2 linked regions of the Saccharomyces cerevisiae S288C genome follow. The gene in region 1 interacts genetically with each later gene. Each region holds a gene or a part of one and is shown on either strand. Other genes may lie near its edges.

The links.
Region 2: mutations in FUS2 (region 1) and AZR1 together harm fitness more than expected from each alone (negative genetic interaction), as found in Saccharomyces cerevisiae (2 studies listed by BioGRID).

Annotation. Positions count from the first base shown.
Region 1 is NC_001145.3:734,926-738,685, reverse strand, and holds the start of FUS2 (Fus2p), read right to left. Parts: upstream 1,761-3,760; coding exon 1-1,760. Other genes in the region: tethering complex subunit PEP5, read right to left, coding at 2,052-3,760. UniProt on the Saccharomyces cerevisiae protein: Promotes cell fusion during zygote formation.
Region 2 is NC_001139.9:940,892-944,651, reverse strand, and holds AZR1 (azole transporter), read right to left. Parts: upstream 1,847-3,760; coding exon 5-1,846; downstream 1-4. Other genes in the region: phosphatidylinositol-3,5-bisphosphate binding protein HSV2, read left to right, coding at 2,437-3,760. UniProt on the Saccharomyces cerevisiae protein: Transporter protein required for adaptation to high stress imposed by low-chain organic acids, in particular by acetic acid, and for resistance to azoles, especially to ketoconazole and fluconazole.

The DNA of each region.
Region 1 (3,760 bases):
AAAGTAATAAAGACCGGTAATTCCCTTTTCATCTGGTTTTGCAGGTTTTGGAAATGCATTCCCAACAAGTCACGTTTAATATCTCGCACATTTGCTTTTTTTTCTTGTAAAAATAACATGTAATCTTTCTTCAAAGCTTGCAAATCTTTTAGTTTGCTTTTAACGGTAGTACAATGGGCTATGATTCTTTCAAGTGGGTTCATCACATCTGTTTCGAGCTCTGTGAGTTTCAAAATTGTTACTTGATTTTTTTGTTCATGCAGTTTATCTATGTACGAAGAACACATGGTCGATATTAAGTTATCGTGCGCAAAAAATGCACCAGAAGGGCGTTCGCACTCGATCACCTTTTTCCATGCATTTATTCTTCTTAAACTGATATCAATAATGCCTGACAGATCGTTTTTCAATAAATTCTTTTTTAATTCTAACAAACCTTTCATTACTTTCTTGAATTTACTGATGTGATCTGCCAATGTAAAAAATTCTGTTTCTTCATCCATTTTTAGATTTATCATCTCAGCTGAGGCAGTTGAAGTATTAGTGACAATTTCTAGCCCTGATACATCTGAGTAGTAACTCGATGATCCAGAAAGAAGAGAAGGAACTCTACTATTATCCAAATTACTCTCTTGTCGAGATGCATTACATATATTTTTATTTTGTTTGTCTGGGGGTTTTAAAAGGTGTGTAAACTGATCTTCATCATAACTTTGTATAATCTCTGATGGGGTTAAACTGAAATTATACATGGAATTACTCTTATACTCGGAGACCTCGGTTTCTAACTTATTGGAAAATAAAGAATATTTTCTTCTTGTCGGGCTTAGTTTCAAGCCCAATTCTGGCGAAAGAATATCTTCGTAACAGCTTTCCAAAGTTTCCAAAGTATCAATCCACTGAGTCAGTCTTTTCATCGGGCTTTTCAATATGTCCTCTAACTTTATACATCCACTCTCTTTTAAACAATATTCATACCACTTGTTAAAAAAATGATTCTTATTCATCCTTAATGTAGTAAATAGTTCCATTTGTTTTTGGTGGCTAACAAAATAGCTTGTGTAGGTGGATTTGATTCTTAACAAATGTTGCTCGAACGCCTCTGAAATATCAAAAGTTGAATATAGCTGCTGTTGTACCTCATTTTTGGTGAATATCTTTTGCCATTCATTCGCATCCAACATTTTCCCACGTTGCTTGGCTAAAAGTAGGTCTTTTATTGCCGTTACCAGTATTTTGCTGATTGACGCAATAGTGTCAATGTTCCCAAAAAGCAATAGCTCGTCACTTGAATCAAGCTTGACAAGTTTATTCTTGAATCTTGGATCACTATTCAATGCCTTTCTGTATACGTTATTTGCGGTTAACAAATTATTGTAATATTCCACTTCAGAGAGGTAAAACTCCTGTACGATTTTATAAAATTTGCATCCCTCGTGAGGAGAATTGGGAATCTGAGGGCTCAAATTCAGTCTCACGACATTTTGAAATATCTCTGTGTTAATAGGAGAGTAAATTTTTTTATTGCTCAGGCTCTCCACTATAGAATGCAAGTCCAGACTTGCTGGTCGTTTATTCGTGAATTTTTTATCGTTGAGTTTGTTTTCATGTTTCGATAACTTTCTCGTAGGTTTTCTAACAATTTCTGGTAATTTGTCATCATTTTTATGAAAATAGTCATTTTTGTAGTCTCTTATTGGCGTTAATGAATCATTTTTCGGATAGTTCAAATCGTACAAGTTATATGAAGTCTTAAACATCGCAAGGGGTTTTCTTGTCTTTTTCTTAAGAACTTACTATAACAAGAAAACCTAAAATTGGTTTCACAAAGAAAAAAGATACTTTGTCAAATAAAAGACGGTTGCCACATTAATAATTTTTTCAAAAGGATGTATAAAGGGTCTATCTTAAATATACAACTTCGTCTTCACCTTTGTCTTTTCCAACATGCGCTGTTTCAGTAGGTAACATATATGTTTCAGATTAACTTCGCGACAAGTTCGGGGCGCATTTGTGACGCGGCGGCGACAATAGATCGTTATGATCCATCATTAAATAGTGATGTCAGAATAACTGATGGCACCTCTACCTAAAAACTCTGTTATGACTTTGAAACGGTCTCTACTACCTTCTTCACTGTTTAATGCAAAATTCAAAAGATCATTCTTTTCAACTACTTCGTGTTGAGCTTCAAAAAGTTTGTTGGAGGTTTCTAAGTCCACCAAGCATTTGGGACATTTAAAGAGCTTTCTCTCGCTTTCTAGAGTATCTTCTTCCTCATTTAGACAATGTTGGTGGTAAATGTGACCACATTTAAAAAAAACTACAGGAATATCCAATGTCAGTCTACACATGAAACACGTTTGATTCTTCAGGGGTACGTGGAGAGGTTGATCTGAATTAATGGTGTTCTTCAACTTCTTGTTTTTCTCCTTTAACTCTTTATCGTAAGATTCAATTAGTTTTTCGTTCCTTTTGATTTCTGTATCTTCGGTTTTGACATGATCAATAATGATGTCTTGTATCAGCCCAAAGTGGGCTACATTTGTACGGGATAGCGCTTTAATTATATCCAACAGTGGCATTCTTTCCCCCTCTATAATTGGCCTCAATACTTTTTCTTTCAGTACTTCATTACCGCCCATCTCCTTGAAGATTAGTTTATTAGAAACAAAGTAACTCAATGCTACTTGTAAGAGCTTGGGTTCCTCTGTGCCATATTTTTCTAGGAATTTGAGACAAGTACTTGGTTCTTCATTTAACGTCATAGCCCTAAATGTACTCAGCAAATCCATCTCGGGGTTATCATTGGCAAATGAAGCTATGTCAATTTTCGTCTTATCTTTTGCTGAAGCACTACTTTGATCCATATGGGAAATTAACAGCATTATTGAGTTATCCACCCTTTTGCTAGTATTATTACTTGCGGCAGAATACACCAATTTATTGCTCTCACGCAATACGCCAGTTGCTCTTGAACGCCAGTCGTCTATACGCTCGGGTACATCATTTTGCGCCAAATTCAAATATAAGTCATATAAAGTAGTCAAAATTACTTGCCTATCTTCGTCAAAACCCTCATACTGCTGGTAACATGCCAAACAGGCTTCTAAGAAAACAACAAATTCAAAAGGTTTTGTAACGAATGAACTGAAAACAATGGATGGCTTCGGCGGATGATAAGTAGGCTCTTCATGTTCGTGGGATGCCTCTGAAGACTCGCTCATTGCGTCTGATGTACCATTTGAGTTCATGTAGTTGAAGAATGTTTTGTAACTGTAAAAAACTGTTCTAATATTTTCAGAAAAATCGCCCGTCGTATCTCTCCGGTCCAGATCCACTTCAAAAGTGGATGGTTTGAACTTCCCTGTAAATACTTCTATCAGTAAAGCATTAGTTTCATTCGGTGACTCCTCCAGTAATTTTTTCGAGTACGTCACAAGGCATCTTAGGGTTTCATCAATTGGTAAACTTTTTATGTATTTTATGGCTTTTACAGGGTTATGCAATAGATTCAATAAAATATCCACAATAATTAATGAATCCTTTGAATACTTCTTTGCAAGTCTGTATGAGAGACGCTTAAAATCTGACTCTTTCATAAGCTCTAAGATTAAATCTAAATCAAAAAAATCGTTATCTGAATAAAAAAACGTCACATCATCCATATCGTCCATCACAACACCTTCATTCCAAATGCCTTTTCTATCGAAATGCTGGATAAAAGTATCAATTCCTTCAACATCCTTCAATTTGATTA
Region 2 (3,760 bases), on another chromosome or scaffold:
TAACTTATCTCAGGCTTGCTGTGACTTTCTTATTTGAAGCAAAAACAGCAAAAATGAGAGATAATGCATAAAATCCTAATGCCATGTAAAAGACGTCAGTGAGAGATTCAGAAATTATATTGCCCAATTTGGAATGAGAGCCATCGAAATTGGTCTGCCTATAGATTACCAGATTGTCTACCGTGGTACCATCTGGGAGCTGAATATTAGCCTTGGTTAATTTCTTGATAGCAGCAGCACTGAAAACAGTGTTAGAGATGACACCTCCCAGTGCTTGACCTAGATTTTTGCAAAATGTGTTAAAAGTGGTAATAGAGACAAAATCTGATCGAAAAGTTGGGCTCTTCTTGTCTAACTGAATTTGAGAAGCGAGCATGGAACTTTGTGCCAAACCACCGAAAGCAACGCCAGGTAATATCAAAAGGCCGATGTGAGCAGAGTTATTGGCATTATTGTTCAATAGGGTTAATATACCCGCACCAACAACACCAAAAATGCTTGAAATAACAATAATCGGTTTGATTTGGCGGGTTTTGTCGGTGATAGCACCGCAAAGTATTGCTGTAACGACTGTAGAAATAATGCAAGCAACCAGGTGTACAGCGGCTCTCCAGGCGGAATCATTGTAAATTAATTGGAAGTATTGCACAATATACGTAAACTGACTGATATATCCTGCACAAGTGAGAAACAAGGCTATATTAACCGTGAAAATACCTGGTTTCTTGATATTTGTCCATGACATTAATGGTTGGTAATGTGGTGTTGCTTTCACTATATTAAATTTGGGGAAGACAAGGAAATCATAGATACCTGCTAACACTACCAGGACTATACCGATGATGAAAAGAATAATGATGGATGCAGAGTTCCAAGCATACCGGTTACCGCCAAATGTGAAAGCCAATAGAATACATGTGAATCCAGCTGAACAAAACACAAACTCGATAATATCATACATGAAAATCAATTCCATGAACGGCTTTCTCCACCCATTAAGTTTGCTAAACCCTTTGATTTTCAATAAATGATATGCTACATTCCGAACAATTTCGATAAACTGTGATGGAAATTTGCGGATGTTATCCATTGTCTCTTGAAATGTACTTAAACCTGGGTTATAAAAGAACAGGAATAAGAAAAATGCTAGGCCACCGATCGGTAAATTAACATAGAAGCACCATCTCCATGTGACGCTGGAGGTGAAAACTCCTCCAAGGAAAGGCCCAACAACAGATGCAATAGCAAACGAACAACTCAAAACAGCAATTAGTATGCCTCTCTGCGACTCCTCTACCAGGGTTGAACCAATGACGAACGATAAACTTTGAATACCACAACCGCCGACTCCAGCAATAACTCTACCACCAATGAGCATACTCATTGAATTTGCTAAAGCAGAGATCAGCGACCCGATTTCAAAAATGACAATAGCAAATAGCATGGTCTCCTTGAATCCGATAGGTGTGGCAATTCTTCCCCATATCAACGCCAACAGAGCGTTTGGTAAGCTATACCCGGTAAATAACCACCCGATCTCAGAGTACGATCCAAACTGTTTAGCTACTTCTTCAATGATTGTAGAAACTATCATGATATCCAAGGCTGCCAGAAACAGCGACAAAGCCAATGCTATCAAAGATGCGTACAAGATAAACCCTTTAGGTAGTTCATTACTTTCGCTGGCGTTGTCCTCGAGCACCACGCTCACGTTTTGTTTTGATGTTGACTGCGTAGAATTTCGTCTCACAACATATTGTTTTTGCTGTTTCTCGTTCTGTTGTTGTGCTTTCTCACCGTAGTATGAGAGGTCGCTCATGCTGTAAGTCTTAGGTTCGCCTTTCATTGGGCTGCAATTTAGATACTAATGTAGACGTGGTGTTACTACAATTGTAGAAGAAAAGATACAAGATTTAAAGGACGTTGCAAGAGGGTACGGAAACTCTAGCATTATATATAATCAATTGATACAGTGCCGATTCTTTGATATAAGACATTTTTCTTTAAATTAATGTAGTGGTTCTGCTTGACACTTTTTATTGTATTTCCAGCCATAGCATATAGAAGCGCGGAAATACAGCGGATATCCGCTAGTTGGCGGAAATAATGCAAATTGGTAAGATCCTATGGTAACAGTGCAAGAAAGGGGCCTGAGTTAAAAAGAGAAAATGAGCCTATCCTAATGATGATAGCCAGGTTCATATTAACGTTGTTTACCTTTGTGTTCAAGATCAGGGGCTTTTGGCAGTATCTGAGCGAAATGAAATAAAGAAATTGATAATCACGTGATCACGGCTTTCTGGCTTGTAAAGCCGGTTATATTTATTTACCTTAGTAATACGTACTGCGGGGGCTATTGTTAAAGGGAAGAGAAACCAGAAGATCTGGAAAGGCAGCGATTATTAGAGGACAACTATAAGCATACATAACTAGCAGATGGATGTTCGTCGACCTATAAGGGAGGCAGTCAACAACAGGAGGAAACCAAAATTTTTGAGCGTTTCGTTTAACCAAGATGATTCGTGTTTCAGCGTGGCGTTAGAGAATGGATTTCGTATTTTCAATACAGATCCATTGACTAGTAAGCTATCGAAAACATTTAAAGAGTCTGCGACCAACCAATCCAGGGGCACTGGGATTGGCTATACCAGGATGCTTTATCGTACGAATTACATCGCACTAGTCGGAGGTGGTAAACGACCAAGGCATGCTCTAAATAAACTGATCATCTGGGATGATCTTTTGCAAAAGGAAACGATTACTTTGAAGTTTATGTCTTCCATTAAAGACGTGTTTTTATCTAGGATTCATATTGTGGTAGTCCTGGAGAACACAATAGAGATCTTCCAATTTCAAACCAATCCTCAAAGAATTTGTCCTATTTTGGATATCCCTCCCAATGGATCAGTGGACTATGTCGTTTGTAGCAGCAAACATCTCCAGTCGCAAGCATCGCAGTCACAGTCTAAAATCTTAGAAATCATTGCATTCCCATCGAATAAATGCGTAGGCCAAATTCAAGTAGCCGACCTATCACAAATAAAATATAATTCACAAAACCCGAAGGAATCAGCGCTTTTGCCCACTTCCATCATTAAAGCACATAAAAATCCCATCAAACTGGTTAGACTGAACCGTCAAGGCACCATGGTAGCAACATGTTCCGTCCAGGGTACACTTATAAGAATCTTCAGTACGCATAACGGTACTTTAATCAAAGAATTTAGAAGAGGGGTGGACAAGGCGGATATTTACGAGATGAGTTTCAGCCCCAATGGTAGTAAGTTGGCCGTATTGTCAAATAAGCAAACATTGCATATTTTCCAAATTTTTGAAACAACCAATACAGAAACGAATACACCAGACCACTCTCGTGCCAATGGTTCGAGCCATCCCTTGAAAAATTATATACCGAAGGGCCTATGGAGGCCCAAGTATTTGGACTCTGTGTGGTCGATATGCAATGCTCACTTAAAGAACCCAATCTTTGACGCTCACAGAAATGACAACAGTGGTGATGTAACTCACGATAACGAGTTCTATAAAGACAGATGTAGAATTGGCTGGTGTCAAGACTCTAATAATAGAGAACAAGACGATTCGTTGGTTCTGGTGTGGCAAAATTCTGGGATATGGGAGAAATTTGTTATTTTGGAGAAGGAACAACAAGATTCATCGAAAACGCATTATTCATTGAATGAAAGCTTGAGGAACGAAGATACGAAATCAGCGGGTGAGCCCACCAGATGGGAGTTGGTGA